Linked DNA regions of Rattus norvegicus. The protein of the gene in region 4 interacts with the protein of the main gene of each other region in a pairwise test. Links are inferred from orthologs where the notes say so. Each region holds a gene or a part of one and is shown on either strand. Other genes may lie near its edges.

The links.
Region 1: the proteins of Pitx1 (region 4) and Ipo13 interact in binary tests that used the Homo sapiens proteins (3 or more experiments, as listed by UniProt). The link is inferred for Rattus norvegicus from reciprocal best matches to the Homo sapiens genes PITX1 and IPO13.
Region 2: the proteins of Pitx1 (region 4) and Dvl3 interact in binary tests that used the Homo sapiens proteins (3 or more experiments, as listed by UniProt). The two-hybrid records come from large-scale screens. The link is inferred for Rattus norvegicus from reciprocal best matches to the Homo sapiens genes PITX1 and DVL3.
Region 3: the proteins of Pitx1 (region 4) and Trim23 interact in binary tests that used the Homo sapiens proteins (3 or more experiments, as listed by UniProt). The link is inferred for Rattus norvegicus from reciprocal best matches to the Homo sapiens genes PITX1 and TRIM23.
Region 5: the proteins of Pitx1 (region 4) and Spag8 interact in binary tests that used the Homo sapiens proteins (3 or more experiments, as listed by UniProt). The link is inferred for Rattus norvegicus from reciprocal best matches to the Homo sapiens genes PITX1 and SPAG8.
Region 6: the proteins of Pitx1 (region 4) and Maged1 interact in binary tests that used the Homo sapiens proteins (3 or more experiments, as listed by UniProt). The link is inferred for Rattus norvegicus from reciprocal best matches to the Homo sapiens genes PITX1 and MAGED1.

The regions. Positions count from the first base shown.
Region 1 is NC_086023.1:136,722,479-136,725,978, forward strand, and holds part of Ipo13 (importin-13), read right to left. Parts: intron 3,135-3,500; coding exon 2,997-3,134; intron 2,823-2,996; coding exon 2,726-2,822; intron 1-2,725. UniProt on the Homo sapiens protein: Functions in nuclear protein import as nuclear transport receptor. Serves as receptor for nuclear localization signals (NLS) in cargo substrates.
Region 2 is NC_086029.1:93,884,104-93,888,199, reverse strand, and holds the start of Dvl3 (segment polarity protein dishevelled homolog DVL-3), read left to right. Parts: upstream 1-1,296; 5' UTR 1,297-1,427; coding exon 1,428-1,588; intron 1,589-4,096. UniProt on the Homo sapiens protein: Involved in the signal transduction pathway mediated by multiple Wnt genes.
Region 3 is NC_086020.1:37,053,205-37,056,704, reverse strand, and holds part of Trim23 (E3 ubiquitin-protein ligase TRIM23), read right to left. Parts: intron 2,483-3,500; coding exon 2,348-2,482; intron 1-2,347.
Region 4 is NC_086035.1:8,802,319-8,805,977, forward strand, and holds the end of Pitx1 (pituitary homeobox 1), read left to right. Parts: intron 1-1,596; coding exon 1,597-2,142; 3' UTR 2,143-3,159; downstream 3,160-3,659. UniProt on the Homo sapiens protein: Sequence-specific transcription factor that binds gene promoters and activates their transcription. May play a role in the development of anterior structures, and in particular, the brain and facies and in specifying the identity or structure of hindlimb.
Region 5 is NC_086023.1:62,696,951-62,701,112, reverse strand, and holds Spag8 (sperm-associated antigen 8), read left to right. Parts: upstream 1-1,448; 5' UTR 1,449-1,469; coding exon 1,470-1,507; intron 1,508-1,599; coding exon 1,600-2,374; intron 2,375-2,478; coding exon 2,479-2,653; intron 2,654-2,834; coding exon 2,835-2,880; intron 2,881-2,954; coding exon 2,955-3,069; intron 3,070-3,190; coding exon 3,191-3,253; intron 3,254-3,346; coding exon 3,347-3,538; 3' UTR 3,539-3,662; downstream 3,663-4,162. Other genes in the region: adenosine 5'-monophosphoramidase HINT2, read left to right, coding at 1-53, 159-263, 369-441, 544-635; Npr2 (atrial natriuretic peptide receptor 2 precursor), read right to left, coding at 4,016-4,081. UniProt on the Homo sapiens protein: Microtubule inner protein (MIP) part of the dynein-decorated doublet microtubules (DMTs) in cilia axoneme, which is required for motile cilia beating.
Region 6 is NC_086039.1:63,420,186-63,424,453, reverse strand, and holds the start of Maged1 (melanoma-associated antigen D1), read left to right. Parts: upstream 1-1,468; 5' UTR 1,469-1,569; intron 1,570-2,124; 5' UTR 2,125-2,153; coding exon 2,154-2,198; intron 2,199-2,895; coding exon 2,896-3,594; intron 3,595-4,145; coding exon 4,146-4,268. UniProt on the Homo sapiens protein: Involved in the apoptotic response after nerve growth factor (NGF) binding in neuronal cells. Inhibits cell cycle progression, and facilitates NGFR-mediated apoptosis. May act as a regulator of the function of DLX family members.

The DNA.
Region 1 (3,500 bases), on a different chromosome or scaffold from region 4:
TAGTTATGTGGGACTGAGAGCCTGCGGGAGGCAGCATGGGGCACATGAGCAGCAGGAAGCAAGATAAAGAAACAAAACATACAAAAACCATGAACTGGGAGAAGCCCAACAGAAAGAGACGGCAAAGTGAAGGACGGGCCTGCCCCAGCTCCCTCAGGGCCTGCCACCTACTCCCCGTTCCACCTCAAGCCAGTCCCCGTAGTGATCTCTTGGTGCTCAAACGATTCTAGATTCCACAGGGTTAGGGATCAGTCTCCACACTCTTGCTGTGACTGACTGGCTGGGGCGGCCCTGCACTGCCTCTTGGTATATACTTCCCTATCACAGCCATCTAAGTGGAGGGCACAGCTGGTGTAGGTTGGTCCATGGCACTTCATTTTGAGGCTTGGCTGAAAGCCCTAAAAGTCCAGGGCATGAGATCTTGATTAAGTGTCCCTTTCAGTTTGATGGCTTTAGGGCTCTTGGTCTGGCTAAGATTGTAGGTTGATGCCAATATGCAGTGAGCACCATGAGAGTTCTGTTTGCTTAAACTGAAGTGCTCTTACTTGGACAGGGCAGGCCTCTGGGTGTACAAGGCTGCCCAGCCATCGGTAGGGCCAGGGGAATAAACTGCATCATAAGGCGTGAGAGAGCCCCATCCCAGCAAAGTCCCTCCACATGGCATAGACTTGGGAGACAGCCAAACTCAGGGCTGAGAACAGCTCCCAGGATCTGACACACCATAAGGGGAAAACAGTCATTGTGTTGCCCCATGCATGACCCAGCGGGAAGACAAAGGCTTGAGAAAGACTGAAACTGGAATAGCAAAACAGGTATGGGGACTCTCCTACCCAACAAGACAACCAACGACTCTGACAAATAACAATGTTGGCCATCCCTGCCTCAGCTTTGACTATTCCTGGAGTAAGAAGAGTAAGGCATGCACCTGCTGCTCCTGCCTGGGCTTCTTCGCTCTCAGTAGGATGCAGCAGAAAGGCATCTGCCTGAGACCACTGAGTAGCTGTGTGATCTTGTGTAAGCCACGGGTGCTCTGTCTCCCCATCTGTGACACATAACCTCTCCTTTGTCTTCTTCACCAGGCTACTAGAAACCCCGACCTGAGGCGGATCCTCTATCTCTGAAATCTACGCTGCTTAGGTCTTAGAAAGGTCTGATGTGCCATTAGAACAGTGTGGTCAGTGTACGGTTCCCTTCCTGCTTGGGCCAGATAGTGTGGAAGAAAGGTTCTGGGGCAGGGAGCCCTCCCTGATTCGCCAGTGTCTGAGAGTGGCCTCCTTCTGGACACAAGGAATATAGTGGAGAACTGTGGTAGAGAAGATGTGACCCTGACCTAGAGGGTTCAGTCCATGAAGTGACAGACATGGAGATTATTAATTCCGTGGCCTGTGCTCTATATCAGCAGTGTAAGTATGGTGGGGTTTTCACAAATAGCTGCAAGTGCCCAGTTCTATCTCAGAGTCACCTGTCTGAGGAGTAATGCCTGCCTTCTGTCTAGGGCATCAACTCCAGTCAGGGGCATACGCTTTCCATTTGGAGGAGCAGTGCGCAGAGTTCAAATAGGGCATGGTAATGAGTGAGAGTCAGAGTGGCCGAATTGCTCCCGTCAGGAGAGAACCTCAGAGATTCACCAGAGCTTGGTCCTGTGGGAATGTGACAATAACCAGAGGGCGATGAGGAGTATCTGAAAGGGTTTTAGGCCAGAGAGGAAAAATGATCATATTAGTGTTTTATGAAGTACAGTATGCTGGATGCTGGATGGGTTGGAGAGAGGGGTGCTTGTGAATGGAGGAGTTTATGGTGTTAAGTGAGGCAGAGCCTAAACTGAGAAAGGGCTCATAGAGGGGGAGGAGGAGTGGACCCACTGAGGGATGAACAGACCCAAGATCACTGGGACTCATTCAGAAAGGGGGCACAAGGAGTAGAGAGGTGGAGTGGAGGACAGTCTGGATCTGCTCTGTGGCCCACAAGGGACCAGACACTAACCATATGTGTGTGATACAAGCACTCTGGGCTCCAGCAGACACTGCTTGGCCTCAAAGCTCAAATCCAGACTAGGCTCATGGGGCTGACAGAGTAGCCTTGCTTCTGTGCCTGGTTAAAACCCAGGTTAGACAGGAAGCCTGAAGGCCAGTTTCCAACTTTCTTAGGCAGAAGGCCACAGAAAGAGGGCCTGGGACTACCCCTGAAAGCACTTTGGGCTCAGAAAAGACTAAACTTTAACACAAAAAGAGGAATCAGCACTTGAGCACTTCATATGCAAAAGTCCAAGCCAGGACCCAAGGAACCGGAGTCCCTGAGCTAACATGGAAACAAGGCTCAGTGAAGGGATGTGACTTGCCCAAGGTCACACAACTAGTTTGGTGGTTATTCCTTAGACTCTTAAGTCTACCTGGTTTCAAAGCCCATGCTCCTCCAACTTCTTATAATATCCCAATGGCAATGAGCCAGACTAGTGCCCCAAGTCACTCAGAGTCTGAGCCCAGCTTCCGGGGTATCCAGGCTGGCCTGGAACGCAGGCAGGCTGTAAGATACCACTTGCCGTTTTATCCACTTCACCCTGAAGTGTCAGCTACTTGTAGGTAACGATTGCACTGTGCTTCGTCCCCCAGGTTTCCCATCAAGTCCCACCTGTGACCAGGGTATCGAGAACAGAGTGGGGTAGCTTTGGCTCCCCAGTGGGGGAAGCAGAGGCAGTGGTGGTAGAGAGACCCTGCTGGGCACTTACCTTGTTGGAAGAGAGAGAGTGTGACGGAGGTCACCAGCAGGAAGAGGGCCTCTATTGGGGGAAAGTGGGCAGGCTCGTGGGCAAAGATGTGGACCAACTACAACAAAGCAGGGGAGGCTGGTGAGCTGAGGTCCCTTCACCAGGATGGATCAACATCCCTGAACACAGGTGGGGACCCCAGCCATGCAGCCACCTGACACACTCCCACCCAGGGACAGGTCTCTAACAAGATGACATCCACAGCACCTACTGCCCAAAGCAGATGGCTTACCTGTCGAGTGAGGTCAAGAGCAGAGGCCTGGGGAACGGTGCTGTACATCCGACCCAGCATCTCACAGAGCTGTGGCACCATGGGGGCAAAGTCATCCAGCAGTGTCTTAACAGACTTCTCAAAGATGGCACACACCGCCTGAGGAAGAAAGCAGACAGACCCTGTCAGAGGGTCATGGGAGGGAGGCCTAAGAAAGGGCCTTTACCCAGCAGTCTAGCCAAGCACTGCAAACCAAAGAATGTGAGTACCCTATTCCTTGGGTTGAAAAGAAGGGGCAAAAAACTCTCCACAAAGGAGCATGGGCTCAAACTGTGCCACTGAATTCCCGCTACTGACTTCGCCACCATTTCTTCTCAGAGGACTGTAAGAGTAACCAAAATCTCAATTTAGGAGCCAAAGCCAGGTCTCTGACACTACGACAGACATCTACGACTTGGCCTACGGTCACTATCCTCTGACCAAGCACTTCTGTGCTACTGGAGCAGTGGTGGTCCGGGGAGGGAG
Region 2 (4,096 bases), on a different chromosome or scaffold from region 4:
AGACATTACTTGGAGAAAAAGATAAATGAAGGATATAAACTGAAAAGATATAACTACTACTGATTGCTTTCTGCCTATAATAAAAATTTGGTTTTGAAGTAACAAGAAGTCTAGAGAAGTAGGTGTCAGATTATAAAGGACCTCGTGTATCATGTTGAGGGTATATGAAAGGCATATTGGGTAATGTGAAGGTTTCTGAGCAGAAGAGGTGATTAAAATGGGTCCTGAAATGCAGGGATGTAATCCCAGAACTCAGAAGCCTGAGGCAGGAGAATTGCCAGGAGTTTTGAAGCCACTCCTGACATACATTGTTACAGCTGAGAAGCTGAACCACCAACTGACTGACTATACCTAGTTTTTAACATCTACTGTCCCAATCATCGATCATGTATGTCTACGCTTTCTGTTTTTTGTTTTTGTTTTTTTTTTTTTACTTGGGGATCAGGGTGGGAGTTGAGACAGAGTTTGTCTGTGTAGCCCTGGCAGTCCTGGAACTCGCTCTGTAGACTGGCTGGCCTCCAACTCAAAGATCTGCCTGCCTCCCCAGTGTTCAGACTAAAGTCATTTGCTACCACACCTGACTGCTTGCTCTTTTTCTTAGCTCGCATTTTTTCTTTTCTTTTTCTTTCTTTTTTCTTTTTTTAGAGAGAGAGACAGGACTTTTCTACCTAGTCCTGCTGGGGTCTTGAGCTCTCTGTAGGCCAGGCTTGGCTTGAACTCACAAAAAGCCACCCGCCTCTCGTTCCCGAGTGCCGGGATTAAAGGCAAGCACCACCACACCCGCCAATCCATTACTCAAACTACTTGCTCATAGAGACGCTGAGATTACAGGGATAAAAATTTAAACTTGCTCAGCCCTCAAGGAACTCAGTACAGTCCGGTCACAGCAACTGTGCTGTCAGCAAAATCCAGAGATCCGAGTCGAAGCGACCCCCCTCCAGGGAACCAGTTAGGTCTTCAAATCTATTTTCTTCCGCAGTAGGTGACACTTATCTTCCATCCCTCCCCTCCAGCCAGGGAGCCGGCCCACCGTTCCCCTGGGCCCACCGGGGTGAGACTTCCAGGTCCAGCAGCCTGATCCAGGAGCACAAGGAAGCGAGCGCCGCCCCGCGGGTGGGCGGGCAGTCTGCGGCAAGCAGCCAGCGCCGCTCGGCGGCGGGGCGGAGCCGCGCTGGGCTCGGCCCAGAGCCGGGAGGGCCGAGGCCACCGGAAGAGTCGCGGTCGCCAGCCGAGCGCTGTGAGTGGGGAGCGGAAGCGGTGGCGGGCGGCGCTGGGACCCGGGAGCGGCCGGAGAACAAGGGAGCTGGCGCCCCGGCCGGCGGCTGAGCGGGGCTAAGCAGCGGGCCTCGCCGAGCGCCGAGCTCTGTCGGAGAGGCCCGGCCCCGCTGCCCAAGCAGGCCGCACGCCGCGGGGCCGAGGCCGGAGCCATGGGCGAGACTAAGATCATCTACCACTTGGACGGCCAGGAGACGCCGTACCTAGTGAAGCTGCCCCTGCCCGCCGAGCGCGTCACCTTGGCGGACTTTAAGGGCGTTTTGCAGCGGCCCAGCTATAAGTTCTTCTTCAAGTCTATGGACGACGATTTTGGGTGAGGATGGCCCCCGCCCCGCCTCCCGGGAGCTCGGGTCGCTCCGCTGCTAGGGGCCAACGCGGCCAGTTCCGACTCCCCTCGCTGCACTGGTTTCTAACCCCGCTTCCAGCAAGGAGCGACTCGGTGACTTGGGACCCTCTTGACTTTGAGGGACTCCCAGTCATCTCTTGGAGGCCTTGCCTCCCCCACCCCACCCCCCAGCCCAGCGGGACGTCCCTCCCTAAGCAATTGGTTCCTATCATTTAAGCCCCTTCACCTCCCCACGGTCCAGCGGCCCGCCGTAGACATACATCCTTTCCACTCCAAAACCAGAGTTCTCAGTCCTTCCAGGTGCCACCTTTTAAGCATAGAGTTGGAGTTAAACTGACACTCGGTCTGCCTTCCCAGTCCTCTGAGCTCTGCAACTCAGATCCTTATTTGGAGTGTGCTCTATCTAGGGCTGTAGCTGGTGGGACTTGGAACTGGAGAAGGAGGAATTGGGGGCTGTTCTGCCAGGCTGGATGCTGGACCTGATGTTTGTCGAGTAGATTCTCCTCTCTCCTGGGCTGATGGGGTGTTGCCTGGCCCGGAGAAGGAGTTTTCACTAATCAGGTGCTGGGGCCTTTTCTTTCCTGATGGTGTTCCCAGGGGAGATGCTACATAGAGCTTCAGAGCCTGGATGGGAAAGCCTGGAAGGGCCTGTTGGTGTTCTCTTGTCTTCCCCTTCCTACCCAGCTGCAGGGCTTTTGATGGGCAATTTGGAAGATGGGACTGCCCCTTTAAGAGAGGTTGGAATGTTGGAGCCTGAGGGTTCTGTAGCAGCTGGCCTGAGAGGGGACACACACACACACACACACACACACACACACACCTATCCAAGGGGCTGAGGCTTGCCTGCATTAACTGGACAGCGGACTTATAGGCTATGGAGCAAACACACACACACACACACACACACACACACACATACACACACACACACACCCTACCCCACCCCTCTCTGGGCCCTCCAAGGCCTGAAGGTCCCTCTGATGCACTTGCCTGAGGCTTGCACTCTGCTTGCAGCTGAGGCCCCAGAGCTGGGTGAGGGGAGATATTCTCTCTAGTGTACATTAGTCTGGCTTCCCTCCTAAGCCCTGCCCTCCAAGCCCCAGGAGGCAAGCACCTTCTGTCTCCTTCTGGGCTATTTGTCATTTTCTGCCCTGGAACTCGACATTTGATGAGCTCTTAAAAGTGTGTGTGTGTGTGCATGTGTGTGTGAGTGTGTGTGTGTGTGAGTGTGTGTGTGTGTGTGTGTGAGTGTGTGTGTGTGTGTGAGTGTGGACAGTGGAGAATTGATCTGACTATTGCTAAATCTGTTCTTGCCCTGGGATGAGACTCTTGTGTGTGGTGATGATTGTCTGGCTGTAGTTTAGAGTAGGAAGACCTGGTTGAAAGACCCTGAAAATGATGTATCTGGAAGAACTGAGGATAGGAGGTGAGTGTCTCAACCTGGCATGAGAGGAATAAGAAGAGGGTCTTTCTTATTATTCGAAGGAGCTGGGATAATATTTCAGGATATGCTAGGCCAGATGTCTTGAGGGATTAGAATAGTCTTGTATCTCCACCCCCACTTGCCTCTGCCTCCCAAGCAGACCACTCTGAGCTGCTTCCTGCTTTCCTGAGGTTGTCGTGGGAGCAGACCTAACTACAATTATAAGAGGGCTCCCATTGCATCTGCTCACTGTTGGGAAATATTTTTCTTTAAATCAACTATTGAACTAAGCAACATTTATCATGTGCCACTTTGAAGCATTTTGTATTTACCTGTGGTCCCTTTGCAAAATATTCATTGTCTGTTCTATCAGGGTTGAGAACAATGCTAAGAATGAAGTGGGTGTGATTATTTGGCTTCTTCCTCCCAAACTCCAAGAATAAATGAGCAAAAGACCCAGCAAGGCTATCCTTTTCAAGTTAGGACAGCAGAGGATCCTGTTGACAGTTTATTTCATTTTTTATTTTACAAGTGCATCATATGATACAGTCTGCCTGATAGTGATATATTATTACTTGTACATCTTGCATCTTTGAGTCCTCATACCAGCCTATGAAATAGGCACTAATTTCCCACTTTGAAAATTAGGCTAGAATGTTAAAGGCCTAAATAAAGCTGACCCTAGATCACACAGCTAGTAAATGACAGAATTTGTTTGGATATGGGGGACTCTCACTCCAAAATCTAAAGTCTGGGTCACACATTGTAGATGTGTGTGTGTGTGTGTGTGTGTGTGTGTGTGTGTGTGTGTGTGTGTGCGCGCATGAGTGTGTGAGTGTTTATGTGTGTGTATGGGTGTCAGAGAGTGTGCATGAGTGTGTGTATATGTGTGTGTGAGTGAGTGTTGTGTGTATGGGTGTCAGAGAGTGTGTGTGTGTGTGTGTGTCACAGTAGTGAGGAATACTGTGCAAATGGCCATAGATTATAGACTTTTCTCTCCAGAGAATAGCAAGCCTTGGCAAACTGGGGACATAACATGCACCTCAGCCAGC
Region 3 (3,500 bases), on a different chromosome or scaffold from region 4:
GGGAAACCCATTTAGACGGGGAGGGGGAGGGACTAGGGGGACGTTGGCCCAGAAACTGGGAAGGGAATAACAATCAAAATGTAAATAAGAAATACTCAAGTTAATAAAGATTAAAAAAAAAAAGAAAAACCTTTGTGCATAACAGGTCATAATCATAAGTAAAAAAGAAATTTACCAAATGTAACAAAATATCTAGAAATCAAAAGCAGATATAGGATTGATAAATACCCAGGATACATAAAGAACTGTTAAACAACAAAAATTCAACCCAATTAAAAAGTGAACCAAGCTCTGATAAAACTGCTCATGACAAATGGACAAAAAGCATATGAAAAGAAACAAAGAAACAAAGAAATGCAAAACCCCACCCCAATAAGATAAAATCTCATACACAGTAAGATGGCTACGAACCCAAAATGTAGAAAAACAACAGTAAGATTTTGATATGTTAACAATATGTGAAATATCACAAAAATTCCTACTAACATAAAAACAAGGCTACAGATAGAGCTTGTGGCTAAATGCCTGCCTTGCATGGATTATTTGTATGGGTTCATGCCCAGCACTACATAAACCTGGGGTGCTGACACATGCCTGGAATGCCATTGGATGTTGAGTTGTAAGGACCATTAGCTCAATGTTATCCTTAGCTATATAGTATGTCTGAGGCCAGCATCAGCTACATATGACCCTTTGTCAAAACAAAATCAAAATTAAGATCTTTTAATTCAAAAACTTTACTACAGGATCCACTAATTTCATTTTTGGAGTATATCACCATAAGAACTGAAAATGGGGGCTTGAAGATACAGGAGGTGGAGAAAAATGGTTCATCTTTTAAAATGGCTTGCTACTCTTCCAGAGGACCTGGGTTAAATTTCCTGCACACATATGGCAGTTCACAACTCCCTGTAACTTCAACACTACCTTCTACCCTACATGTGCACTCCACACATGTAGTGCACAGACATACACCCCTACGCATATCTTTTAAAAGAATCTAAAATCCGGGGGCTGGGGATTTAGCTCAGTGGTAGAGCGCTTGCCTAGGAAGCGCAAGGCCCTGGGTTCGGTCCCCAGCTCCGAAAAAAAGAAAAAGAAAAAAAAAAAAAAAAAAGATGTGCACTTTAGTAAAAGGCAGTCCACCTTTAAAAATGGAAAAAGTAGGGTTGGGGATTTAGCTCAGTGGTAGAGCGCTTGCATAGCAAACGCAAGGCCCTGGGTTCAGTCCCCAGCTCAAAAAAAAAAAAAAAAAATGGAGAAAGTATGTAAAACAGGAACATTTGTCTCTAGCTTTTGAAAGAAGATGAGCTAAGAAAAACTCTAAATGGTCTTGTTTTTTATAGTGAACAGAGTGAAAAGCATCAGAAATCAGAGACAGAGGTGTACCTGAATGAATTCTGCACTGCAAATTGGGCTTTCAACTATGTAAACATTTTTTTTCACTTTAATGTGTTTCTAATTGAAATAAAATTATATCACGTTCATCTCTTTTATTTCATCCAGACCCTCCAAGCTACCCCCAACTCTCATTTATAGCCTCTTTATTTTTATTATTCTTTTTTATTGGATATTTTTATATTTGAATCTCAAATATAAAACCCTTTCCCGGTTTATGGAAACCCCTTATTCCCATCCTCCCTACCCTTTCTTCTATTAGGGTGTTCCTGTTTTAATTGTTTAATTGTTTCCTAAAAATAGGAAATAAAATAGAGTTCATGAATGTTTTTAAATCACTAGAACCCATTATAAAAAGGTATAATACTTCAAACACATTATCAGCCTTCTTTGGAGCCTCTCTCAAAACAAAAACAATTAGGAATTTGATTAGAAGCCAGGCATGGTGGCTTCTAATCAATAACACCAGCAATTGGGAGGCAGAGAAAGGAGGCTCAGGTTACAGAAAATCCAAGGCTAAGTGATAGTCTCAATATATTTTTACTTTGGAAAAAATTTGAGAAATTTTGAATTATTAGCTGAATACTTGATAGTACCAATAATGTATTAGAAATATAAAATAAGGGGTTGGGGATTTAGCTCAGTGGTAGAGCGCTTGCCTAGGAAGCACAAGGCCCTGGGTTCGGTCCCCAGCTCCGAAAAAAAGAACCAAAAAAAAAAAAAAAAAAAAAAAGAAATATAAAATAAATATGCTTTGGGTACAATTCCAATTAAACCAGGAAATAAGGTCAGAGACTTAGTCTCGTTTGTTTCTATTCCCCACTGATTGCAGCTTTTCTTTAAATTCTACAACTCATGAATTTCCTAGTGTTCTCTTTAAGTTGATTTCGATTTTCTGCTACTCACAATTTGCAGAAAGCATAAGTAAAAACAAAGGACAGCACATCACCTTTGTAAAAGTGACTGGAATACTGGCATCCAACTGAATATGATCTGCAACTTCTGTAAACTGCTGCTGCTGTTTCTGCAGTGTTTCTAATAATCTTGTGATTTCTTGTTTTGCCAAGACAACTCTGCAATCATCCTAGAAAACAAAATGGTATTTCCCATAAAGTTTTTCTTTTAAAAAATGGAGATTTTATCAACTTTCAACAAAAGACCTTTAACATTACAGCATTAAAACTAAATTTTAGGAGCTTAGCAGTTGGTAAAAGGCTTGCCTTACAAGCATGAGAACTCAAATTCAATTCCCAGAACCTATGTAAAAAGCCAGGTACTGTTGCAGAAAGGTAAGGTGTATTACATTGGTAAACTGTCATGTGTTGTTTGAGCTTACTGAGCGGCTGGCTCAGGAACTGGGGTTGCTTCCCCACTTCAGAGCCACGTCTGTTTACATTGTGTCTTCTAAGACCCCTTGTCTGGGAATGGAATGGTAACTTAACTGTGATAAGTAAGAAAGGGAACAGCAAAAGAAATAAAGAATGAAAATATGTCTTAGGATCCTATTGCTATGATACACCACCATAACCAAAAGCAACTTGGAGAGGAAGGGTTCATTTGAGCTTACAGTTTCACATCACAGTCCAGCACTGATGCAGAAACTACAGAGGAGTACTTACTGGCTTGCTCCCCATGACTTGTTCAGTCTGTTTTGTTATAGCATCCAGGACTACCAGCCTAAGGATGGCATCACCTACAGTGAGCTGGACCCACATACATCATCATCAATCAAAAAAAAAGAAAAACAAAAAAAAAAAAAAAAAACCTGTATCACAGGGTTGCCCACAGGCAGATCCAAAGTGGGGCATTTCCTCAAATGCAATCCCATCTTCCAAAATCACTTTAGCCTATGTAAAGTTGACATAAAACTAGCCAGCACACATCATGTTCTTAGGAACAGCTAGAAGAAAAATCATAATGTGTTACTATTGTTTACCCCATGATATAAGTGAAAGCAGCACAAAGTTCAACCACAGGAAGTTCATCCATGAAGAGAAAGCTCAATTGGAAACTCCAGCTGTCTGCCTTAACTTCTGCAGCTTATTTCTGCTGAATAGTATAAACACATAATTTGATGGATGTTTTGAGCACCCAGTTTAACA
Region 4 (3,659 bases):
TTACTCAGAGCCAGAGATTGGGCAGAGGATTCTCTGCCGCTAAGGACCTCGGGAGCTCTAAGCCTTCAACCCCTGGAAAATGAAAGGGAAAGGCAGTTCGTGCCTGAGTGCCCCAGAGAGGCCCGAAAAGGTGTTTGAGTGGGGTATCTCAAACTTCTTGGAGCTGTGATCTCATTCTGAGTTTACCTTCTCCAATCTGTTTTTGGAATACTCGCCATCTTTCCTGGACAGTCAGCCAGGTACTAGCTGGACCTTTGCCCAATGCCCCTTCCCACTGTAGGTCTGGGGGTCATGTGGAGCAGGGACACTGGTAGCGAGTGGCCCTCCCACTACACTTTTCAGACGTAAGGTCCCAGACCCAAGGCCGTACTGTATTCTGGCACCTCCCCCAGTTTCCAGCAAATGCTACACGTTCCTACAGGCGTAGGAAGGAAATCGTTTCTTCCCTGGGTGGGCAAATATTTAATCAGACACTGGGAGCACTCCTCGGGCCAGACCAAAGTCCCACCTGATGCACAGAGCCCCTGCCACAAGCCCAACCTTCAGCCCTCCCCGGTGAGGTTGGTCTGACCCAGTGGGACCCTGGGCGCAGACCCTCACCCTGTAATTCTGAGCTCACTAATCCTGCCGAGGTTTATGGGGGTAGGGATGGTGTGGGGTTGAGTAGACAGAATCAGGGCCTGGGAAAGGCTGGGGTCTAGGGGTTCTGGGCTGAAGATCGAGCTAGGAGGTCAGGGGGCCAACGGTGGGAAGATCAGGGAAGCTGGGGAGGACGTGGTCGGGAGAGAAAAGTGGCCCTTAACAAATTTTGTAGGAGAAAACAGAGGTGGAGGCTAGAGAGAAACTAGTAAACTTACGGAAATTAAATATTTGCAGAGAAACGTATTTGGGATATATTTAAGCAGCAGGAAAGAAATTAAATATTTAAGGGAAGCAAAGAGGTTGAGCGTTTAGAAAAAGAAAGGATCAACTATTTAAGGGAAACAGTGGGGGTCAGAGATCTGGAAAGAAGGGATAAATTAAATATTTAGAAAAGAATAAAACGGGGACAAGAAATAAAGGAAAAACAAACGAGTTTAGATAGTCAAGAAGTGAACAAAATTTTACATTTTGGGCAGGAGGAAAACTATTAAATATTATAAATACGGATGAAAATAAAATATTTGAACAACGAAACTCGTCTGAAAAGTCGGAGACGGTCAGTTTCGGGGAAGAAAAATACTTTTTGTGTTTGAGAGAGAAAAAATCGGATTGAACTATTAAGAAGAGGGTAGTGGTGCCCCATTTGGAAGGAGATGACAGAAAGAAGACAGGTTGAGGGAGGGGAAGAAAACGAATATTTGTTCAAACAAAAGAGAATCTGAGTCAGAAAAGAAAATAAATTTAACTCGGGGAAGAGAATTTTTAAAAAGCTGGGGAAAAGGGAGAGGGCTCCTATTTTCTGGAGACGGGAAGGGAACCATTACGGAAAAACTCGGCAGAGGCTGAAGAAAAGGCGGGATGTTAGGAGAGGGGGCTACAGAGTCTCAGGTCGGGGATGAGGGTCCTTCCCGGCCACCACCGTGGCCCTGACGTTTCTCCCGCTGGCTTCCCCAGGTCTGGTTCAAGAACCGGCGAGCCAAGTGGCGCAAGAGGGAGCGGAACCAGCAGTTGGACCTGTGCAAGGGCGGCTACGTGCCGCAGTTCAGCGGCTTGGTGCAGCCCTACGAGGACGTGTACGCCGCCGCCGGCTACTCCTACAACAACTGGGCCGCCAAGAGCTTGGCACCGGCGCCGCTGTCCACCAAGAGCTTTACCTTCTTCAACTCCATGAGTCCGCTATCCTCTCAGTCCATGTTCTCGGCCCCCAGCTCCATCTCTTCCATGACCATGCCATCCAGCATGGGCCCGGGCTCCGTGCCCGGCATGCCCAACTCGGGCCTCAACAACATCAACAACCTCACGGGCTCCTCGCTCAACTCGGCCATGTCGCCGGGCGCCTGCCCCTACGGCACCCCCGCCTCGCCCTACAGCGTCTACCGGGACACGTGCAACTCGAGCCTCGCCAGCCTGCGGCTCAAGTCCAAGCAGCACTCCTCGTTTGGCTACGGCGGTCTGCAGGGTCCAGCGTCGGGCCTCAACGCCTGCCAGTATAACAGCTGACCGCCCCGCCGGGTCCCCGGGGCCGCCGGCCGGCAAGGCGCAGCGGGAGCGCGCGGAGCACACGGGGCGCTCGCAGCACCTGGGACCTCACCTCTGCGCAGCCCCTTCCTCCCCACCCTGCCTCCAGGTTGGTTTTGTGTTTGCTTTTCCGGACCCCGCTCTGCCCCCAATGAATAAAAAAGGGAAAAAAATCAAGCCAAGGGAGGGGGTGGGGGAGAGAAAGCAAAAAAAATAAAAAAATTTTAAAAAAAGGACATCGGAGAAAAATGCTGGGGGTGGGGGTGAGTTGCAATGTCCCTGGCGATGGCGCAGGTGGTGCGTTCGAACCCTCGACCCCCAACTGTCCACTACACCAAGGGGATGTGGCGTGGGGGAAGCCAGCGCCAAAGTGGCTCGGAGAAGACGCCGTTCGTCCCTGCCGGAGCGCCTCAACCCGTGAACTGAATGTAGGGAGCCTGGAGGCCCTGGGATCGTTCACCCGATCAAAAACCCGAGGCACCCTCTCCTAGCCTGGGCCGTCCGAGTGCATGCAGCGCGGATCACTGTTGGAGCTTGAGCCTGGCTGGGGATGACAGCGCTGATGGGGATCCGGTGTGCCGGATTAGCCTAAGGCCTCGGGATGCCAGAAGAGCCCAGCAGCCCTGAGCTCTGGAGCCGCACACTTCAGGCCACTGAGCCGCAGCTGGCCGTGGCCAGTCCGCAGCAGGAGGGGAAGGGCTCAGCTCTGAGTTCCCCAGCCCCAGCTTAGCCGCCAGCCCGGCCCTCTGCTCCACTACGGGTCCAGGAGGTGGCCCAGTGAACAGCCCCTTCCTCACTGCTCACCCGTGCAAGAGTCGAGCCAGGAGAGCGCGGGGCCACAGCCCCAGGGCCCCCGCCCACTTTGCACACCCGCTCTCTGGCCCGCGCCCGTTTACAGCGTCCCTGTGTATGTCGGACTGACTGTATAGAATTATAAATCTGTCTATATCGACTTGTCCATGTACGTCTATTAAAACCATAGTCGGAGCGTGCTAAGCACCACTGAGCCCTGGCTGCTTCATTCAACTGAAAAGGGAGGCCAGCGCGCCGCACTGAGAACGGAGTCTCCCTGACCCTGGGGGTGGTAGAGGGAAGACCTGTGGCAGGGGTTCCCCAACACTATTCTTGACCTGCCCCTTCTTGCAGTGACAGGCAATCTGGTGGAGATTCCTCTCCTCCTTAGGAACCCAACTCTCCGAGCTGGGCCTGCTTGATCCTCAGATTCCTAGGGTGTTGAGAACACCTATGACCTAGATCGTAGGGGTGCACTCTCTGAGCACCGTTTAGGACTGGAGCTCCCTGTTCTCCCATGGCCTCATCCCCTCATCCTCCTTGGAGCCCAGCTCCGGCACCGGATGTTCCACAGTCTAGCTGGACTAGCCTCTGCCTGTTCTCCTAGCGCCCCAATTACTCTCTAGCTTCCAGCCAGGGGCATGCGACTCTGAGAGAAAGTGTGTCCACCCAGGGCTCACTTCTCACTTCTCGATCTCAACTTCTGG
Region 5 (4,162 bases), on a different chromosome or scaffold from region 4:
CCCGGATTTTGGACCGGAGCCTCCCAGCTGACATTCTATATGAAGATCAGCAGGTGGGGGTCCCCTTAGGGCCCAGCCCTCTTAAGAATGTCACAGGTGCAGTGGCACCTGATGGCCTGAGGAAGTAACACTGATCTCTCACCTGTCACCGCTCCCAGTGCCTAGTGTTCCGAGATGTAGCCCCTCAGGCTCCTGTGCACTTCCTGGTCATTCCTAGAAAGCCCATTCCTCGAATTAGCCAGGCTGAAGAAGACGACCAACAGGTGAGGCGAACAGGGTCAGTGGCTTGTCTGGGTGGAGCAGTGGATGAAGCTAGTGGTTTGACTCCTATGGGGAGAGCTACCTCTGCCTCTGCCCTCTCCCCTTAGCTTCTAGGACACTTACTCCTCGTGGCCAAGAAGATAGCACAGGCGGAGGGTCTGAAAGATGGGTATCGACTTGGTGAGTGGCTTTTGACCATGAATCCCTATAACTCGATGGTGATCTTTCTTTTGTTTCCAGCCCTCCCGTGACCCTGGTCCCTAACCTCAAGCTCTGTTTCAGTGGTTAACGATGGGAAGATGGGCGCACAATCTGTGTACCACCTGCACATTCACGTACTCGGAGGCCGGCAACTGCAGTGGCCACCTGGTTAAACCTGCCAGCTGCCCTGGGACCGCGGGCCTGGATGCTTGGATGGAGAACCGGAAAAGGGATCCTGTGATGTTAATAAACGTATTTCCCCCTCCGATTTTGCATCCCTGTCTTCAATATGTAACAAATCTATGTCAAAAAGGTGAAAGAAAATTGATTCGGGCCTATGAGCTCTCTTGACCATAGTCAGAATAAAAGATCGTAAGACCCAGTCAGTGGTTAAAGGAGTATATGGCGCAGATCTGCTAGTGTCTAATGGTCCATTCTGGGTCAAACGACTAGGAAAAAAAATAGCAGTAGAAATTTGCCTGGATGACTAGACAGAGACACGTCTATTGTACCATATTCCCTTCCATTTCGCTGTTATCTGCCTCTCTATGTGTGCTAAGGATCGAATCCAGGACCTTGGGCATGCTAAGCAAGCACTCCTACCGAAGACAGCAGCATTCTCATCTCCTATTTCATATATTTTCATCCTTAAACTGTTTAAAATAAAAAAAAAAATACACACTGCTCTTTCAACTTAGGGAATGAACCAAACCGGAGTTCATATTGATGCAATCCTGGGCTTTTCTCCAGTGCATCCCCTAGTCACCTTAGAACTAATCAAGATGGGCATGGAGGCGAGGGAGGGGTCAGATTAGTGGAACGTTAAAAGCCCAGGTGAGGCAGATTGGAGCCGGGACTATTGGAGAGCACCAAGTCTAAAACTTCCGCCGGTGGAAAGTATTTGTTTATTTCTCCTACTGGCCACCCCCAGGTCCGCCCAGCTCTAGTGCGCAGTCTCAACAAGTTGTTTGCCGTCTCTATGGCAACCCGGTAGGCGGAGTCTGAAAATGGAGACCACCGACTCCACAGAGGGATCTTTGACACGGTAAGAGCCAAAGAGAACAAGGGAGGTCAACGGACTAACTTTGCAGCAGTTTTGACAACCTTGATGAATTCGGGGTTTTTGTTTTTTTTCAGATCTTTTGATATACAGCCCAGCTCTGAAGGACTAGAGTCCACTTCAGAACCCATTCCTTCTTCGGGTAGCAGTCCTAAGCCTACCGTACAGACCGGAGCTGCCCCATCATCTGCAGTATGTCGAGGAGTTCCTTCGCCGTATTGTGTGTTTACAGATCCCTCCTCTGACAGTCTTTATGAAGCAACCTGCCCCGCACCCCATCCGAGGGGCCATGGGAGGTTTGGCTTTCAGCCCCTCTATGTTTCTTATATTCCTCGGGATCCCTGTAATACCGCAGACCTCAGCTCAAACCCTGATCCTGCCACTTCTTATCCTTGCCATAGCTCTGTTCATAGCTCTGTCTCTGGCTCTGGCCCTTGTTTTGGTGTTAGCTCTGAGCCTAGCCAGGGCTCGGGTCCCACCTCTGGGCCTGTTCCTGTCTCTGGACCTAGTCTTGTCTCTGGACCTGCTTCTGTCTCTGGACCCGATTCTTCTTCCTCTGGAACTGCTCTTGCCCCTGGACCCGGTCTTCCTCCTAGACCTGAGCCTGCTGAGCCTGTACCTGGAACTAAGCTCAGGACCTACATTCCTCAAGGATTCAAATGCATCCCAATAGATCTGTTCCCTAATTGGGGTCAGAACATACACTGGAAGCCGCAACACACCTGGGAACCTGTACAAGTCAGGGAACCTGGAGTAAGAGGGCCACGTAAACGTCCAGAGGTTGAATATGAGAAAATTCTCTGCAAAGCACAGCCACGTGGCCAGTGTCTCCTCTACAACTGGCAGGAAGAGGTAGGAAGGTTTGGTCTGTTCTCTCTTCCTAGGGAAGCCAGTAGTTTGTGATGAGGGTCAGTGTGAGAAAGGGAACTCACAGTTACTTAACATGGGGTCCACAGAGAGCCACCAACCAGCTGGATCAAATCCCACCATTGCAAGACGGCTCAGAGAGTTATTTCTTCCGACACGGACACCAGGGTCTGCTGACCTTGCAACCTCAGTTGCCCATGCCTTCTAGCACCACCCAGAAAGACTCATACCAGCTCCCAAGACACACCTGTTATCCACTTCGAGGTGTGAAGCATGAGAAACGGGGGACCAGAAAGAGCCCAGGAGGCAGAAAAGGAGATAGGACTTTTCTGGTGGGAGCGTGGATTGTTTGGTGGCTATAAGGGCAAACCCCAAGATTCCCCTTCTTTCCTCAACTCATTTCTAGAGCTAGTACTTGACTAGATTCTCTTCTGTCCTCCCGCAGGGAAGCGTGAAGCCATGCTGGAGATACTCCTGCAACACCAGATCTGGTGAGAACCAGGGAAGGGGGAAGGGGAGGAGAGAAACTGGGAAAAGGGTCTTGACCTCTCCCATGGCTACATAGTAAAGAGGTGCAGAGAGAGCAGGAGCCTACAAGGAAACTCTCTGAGACCGAGTCGGTAACACACCATGACTACAGAGTGGAGCTGGTAGGAACAGGGCCTCCTGCCCCAACAAAGGTGAGAACCCAGCCTGCCCTGCTTGCATAGCTCGGCTCTGCCCAGGAGTGGGAAAGCAGCAAGCCCAGATGTTTAGAGAGCGCCAAGGGGCAGGAGTTACTCAGTATCTCTTCCCTCACAGCCTCATGATTACCGCCAGGAACAGCCTGAAACCTTCTGGATACAGCACGCAGCACAGCTACGGGTGTGTGGGGGTCACTAGGTACTGGGGTGCAGGAGAGGCTCTAATCTGGCTTGGGGAAGGGTGGCACCTTTCCTGATCCTGGCACTCCTCCAGGGTGTCAATAGCATCAGGACACTGGACACTCCATTCCGGAAGAACTACAGCTTCTCAACACCAGCATCCTTGTCGCTGGGGCAGCCTTTGCCTTACGAACTGGAGAACAGCCCCCACCAAATGGGGGTAATGTCTTCCCTTGCCTGTCAGGGAGGGCAGGGGGATAGAAGGAAGAGAACAACTCCATTCTAAGTATTGAGGTGGGAAGCAGACATGGGATTTGGAATCCATTTCTATTTATACTACAGACGTACTTTGGATGGAGTTGATTCTCTGTCCTTGATGTAGGTTTTACATAAAGCACTCTCATCCTGCAGCTGTTAATTCATTGATTCTGTGAGTAAGTGTGCCCACACTCAGTATTCTTCTCTTGGAATGGCCTGGACCCCAGACAATGACACCATGATTTGTTGTTGTTGTTTTATACTTGGACAAAATATTCTGGTCTAGATACAGGTATTTACAGAAGGCAGGAAGAGGACCAAGATAGGGAGGGGCAGGCATATGTACAAGGCTGAGCGGCAGAGGGCTTATATGACTTCCAGATAAGGCAGGGGGATTGTGTATATGCATATTTTCCATCTCATATGACGTCTGTTTCTGTCAAGTGGAGACACAGTGACCATTGCCCATCCAAGTACCAACAGCAAGAAATTGTCTGCTTGGGATTTACAGGAGTCCAGGAGGTCCTTTTCGCTCTCCTAAGAGCCAATAAGTTCGCATTTTTCCTTTTCCCTGGAGGCAGGGGAACGAACATAGTTGAGACCCTTCTGCGTCAGTGCTTTTATCTCCCTCTCATCCCCTACTTTCATCCTC
Region 6 (4,268 bases), on a different chromosome or scaffold from region 4:
GGTTTGAGTCACCACATCTGTATGCCATTTTTCTGCGTTTGTTTCTCCAGCCATGTTGGCACAGCAGACTGTGTGTCCTTGGACACGACTCTCTTCCTGGGATTCCTATTTTGTGTAGTGAGTAAATTAGGCTCAGAGAGGTCCACTAAAGTGACCATGTCTCAGGGGCTCACACAGCCAGAGACAGATAGGCCAGACACTCATCTTGGAATTCTAAAGCCAAGCCCAGCTTCATTCCGCAAGAACAGGGCAGACACACCTGACTACCCTGGCTGCTCCAGCAGGCACCAAAAAAGCCCGCCGTCTCACTCCTGGAGACTGCCTGCCAAGAGGAGCACAGAGTGAACCTGAAGGGTTCCCACATACACCAGGCCTCCTAGAACACAAGCCTCATTCCCTTGGAACAAATATTGGGGAGAGGAAAGCTTGTTATTCCAATAGAGGATTAAGGAATGCCTCTATTCTCAGAGCAGATTTTCAGTCAGGATCATCCAGGCCCCACATGGATGTTTGTTTGTCTTTTAGATAAAGTCTCAGAGTTGCAAAGCTGGCCTAGAACTCGGTCTCCGGAGTGCTGGGATTACCAGTGTGTTTAAGCAAATATTGTCTTTTCTGTTTGTTACTAGCTCAATGCCCTGGTCCATACAGCGGGTTTACGTTTTAGCTACCTGACGTGTTAAATGAGAATGTTGACCTCCATCCATCTCCTGAGGCTGCCTGTGAGAAAACCAAGCTCCAGGACAGAGCCCACTGCCCTACGCCCTTCCCTCACCTCTCGGACCCACCCCTCACGAAATATTTCTTTGGCAAAAACTGCAAAAAGGGCGAGAGAAACGCTAATTTTCTGAGTCTCGTGAGAGGAAACCTATAGAATCCCCAGGCTGACCCTTGCCCTGGTAGCTCTGTCACGTTTTGTTTTTGTTTTTTTTTTTTTTTTTGCCCCTGCCTTTAAGGTTTCTGCATTGCAAAGTGCGTGAACTCAGCAGAGGCCTAGTTTGTGTCGAAATAAGAGACCCCCCGCAGAGGCCTACCTAAGAGGCTCTAAGCAAGTGGGTGGGAGGTAGTTGCGGACCTGGCTAGAGAGAGTTCGGGAAAAAGGGCGGGACTGAGAAGAGACGCATTGCGGATAAAGGTAGGGGGCTGGTGTGTTGGGCAAGGGGGTGGGACCAAAAGGCGCTGCGCATCTGTTGAAGGAGTGGATGCGTAAGGAGAAGGGGAGGAGGAACCTTTGTACACTGTCAACCTGGTTGGCGGTGGGATAGTGTGCTGGCAAAGAGGCGGGATCTCCTCCAAGTGCACATGCGCGACAAGGTCTCCAGGATGAAGCTTTTGTTGGGAAAGCAAGCGGGACTCTTATTTGGACAGTGATCTGTTGCGCATGCGCGGGGCTTCCTGAGGCGGTGGGTGGTATATTAGGCGAAGAGGCGGGGTCGCCCGAGCTGCCGCGCTGGCATTTTCTCCTGGACAAGGAGAGAGTGCGGGTGCAGAGAGCGGAGCAGAGCAGTCCCGATCCTCTGAGTCGTGAAGAAGGAAGCAACGAAGGGGGTTGGGGTTGGGGCCTGAGGCAAGGTGAGACCCGCCCCCGGACTGGGCATCTGCCCCCCTGGTGTGGCGCCCTTCCCCCATTCTTTTATCCCAATCCCCTTTCCCTGAATTCAGAAACCCCCTCCTCTGCCTTACCCCGGACTTACACCTCGCTCCCGACCCTTTCTAATTCGAACTCCCGTTCATTCCCTGAATCTTTATCCAATTCCTTCACTGAATCCTATTTCCCGACCTTGATCCGTTATACGATTCCTCTAGATTCAAAGCCTTAATTCAACTTTACAGACGCGAACCTCTCCCCGCTAACCGCCCCCCCCCCCGCCCCTGTAAACTACCGCATTCAGAGCGCTTATCTGATTCCAAACCGCGGATTTGAAGCTTTTACCTGTCAGCTTCTGGAAATTTTAGATTGTCTATCGGGACGACCATTTACTTTTCCCGCTTCAGTTAGGCCTGTTTCTCCCCGTACCCAGCACCTCACCCGCCCCCATAATCAAACCACACGCGCACACACAATTCGGTCCTACGTATTTTCCTTCTGTAGTATAATGCCTAGTTCCTCTCCCACACCCCCCTCAGGCTCTGCTCTTGCCAGAGAGACAAGAGCTATGGCTCAGAAACCGGACGGCGGTGCAGGCCTCCGCGGCTTCCAGGTGAGAACCCCGCTCCCAATTCCTCCATTTTCCTTGCTGACAGATTACGCCCACCCCTGGCCCCTCAGGTCGCGCAAATGGCAGGATCTGATTTTGCCCTTCTTCCGGCCTAGACTCCGCGGGCTCTCAAATTTCTAGCGTTTATCGAATAGGGGGGAGGGGCGGCCCTTTTCAGCCATCGGTCCCTGCTTAGAGAAAGGGGAGACCCTGTTAGTCAGGGCATTCTGCCCAGAGAATGCGGGTTGGGTAAGGAACCATTTTTTTTCCATAACCCTGACGCGTGTAGAGCAGTCTGTCGCCCCATCCCCCAACCTCTCGCCTCCACCCTCCCTTTCTCCACGCCGCGAGACTCCCCCTCCACCCTCCTCTGTTTATCCTCCTCAATTCCTCCGTCCTCAGGTCTTGAGCTCCCCACGGCAAGCCTCACGAGTCTGTCTCTAAACCCATTCGGGGTTCAGTGCTTGCACCACATTCCGCACCAGCCCCTGCTGCCTCCGACTGTCCCTCACCTTGCCCTGCCCCCTCTACCTTTAATTAAATTTTGTTCCCGCCCCGCCTCCCTTTGACCCGCCTCTGCCCCCATGTCTGAGTACTGTAACGCCTGTCTACAGTTCCCCTGCTGCGTTGCGCCGTGCCCCTCCTTCAGGTCTGGCTTGTAAGGCCCAGAGATTAAAATTTCCCCCTCCTGTATTTGCAGGCAGAGGCCTCTGTAGAAGACAGCGCCTTGCTTGTGCAGACCTTGATGGAAGCCATCCAGATCTCCGAGGCTCCGCCCACCAGCCAGGCCACAGCAGCTGCCAGTGGGCCGAATGCTAGTCCCCAGAGTTCACAGCCCCCAACTGCCAATGAGAAGGCTGATACTGAGGTTTCAGCAGCTGCTGCCAGGCCTAAGACAGGCTTTAAGGCCCAGAATACCACCACAAAGGGGCCAAATGATTACTCTCAGGCACGTAATGCCAAGGAGATGCCCAAGAATCAGCCTAAGGTGGCCTTTAAGTCACAGAATGCCACCTCTAAAGGTCCACATGCTGCCTCTGATTTTTCCCATGCAGCATCCACAGGCAAATCAGCAGCTAAAAAGTCTGAAATGGCCTTTAAGGGTCAGAATACCACTACTAAGGCTGGCCCCAGTGCCACCTACAATTTCACTCAGTCTCCCAGTGCCAATGAGATGACCAACAACCAGCCTAAGACAGCTAAGGCTTGGAATGACACCACTAAGATCCCTGGAGCTGATGCCCAGACCCAGAATGTAAACCAGGCCAAAATGGCTGACGTAGGGACCAGTGCAGGTATCTCTGAAACTGACGGTGCAGCAGCCCAGACCTCAGCAGATGGCTCCCAGGCTCAGAATGTGGAGTCCCGGACTATAATTCGGGGCAAGAGGACCCGCAAGGTGAGATCCCTGCTGGCTTCCCTTTGCTTTGAGGTCTCTCCTTTCTTTGAATTTCCTTTGCTCCAAACAAAATAAAGGGCACATATATATCTCTATTTTGGCAAAGTTGTAGGGGGAGCTGAAATAAATATTTATTCCTGACCCCCGGTTGTCCACAGATTAATGATGAGTTGATACAAGGACACAGGCAGTATGTGTGCAGACCGTCTTACATTTGACAGTAAACACCATGTCTTAAGCTAGGCAGGCTCACCCAGAATTATCATTAGATTTTGAAGATCCACCTCACAAGCAAGAGAGACCACAGTCAGGGAGAAATGAGTTCAGGGTGAAACCAAGCAGTGCACAGGAAAGGGAGAAACCCCGGGCTCCACTTTGTGTTTTTCTTTCTCTGGTTTGGAGATGAAATGCTTTCCTGAAAGACAGTGAGGAACCAAGTGGCTAATGGCTAGTGAGGTATAGGTGAGGATTCCTAGGGACTTCCTAGGATAGCTACTGGGGGTGCCAGGATTAATAGTGACCCTGAAATTTTCTTCTCTCTAATGATACAGATTAATAACTTGAATGTGGAAGAGAACAGCAATGGGGACCAAAGGCGTGCCTCGCTGGCTTCCGGGAACTGGAGGTCTGCTCCGGTTCCAGTAACCACTCAGAACCCACCTGGCGCACCCCCT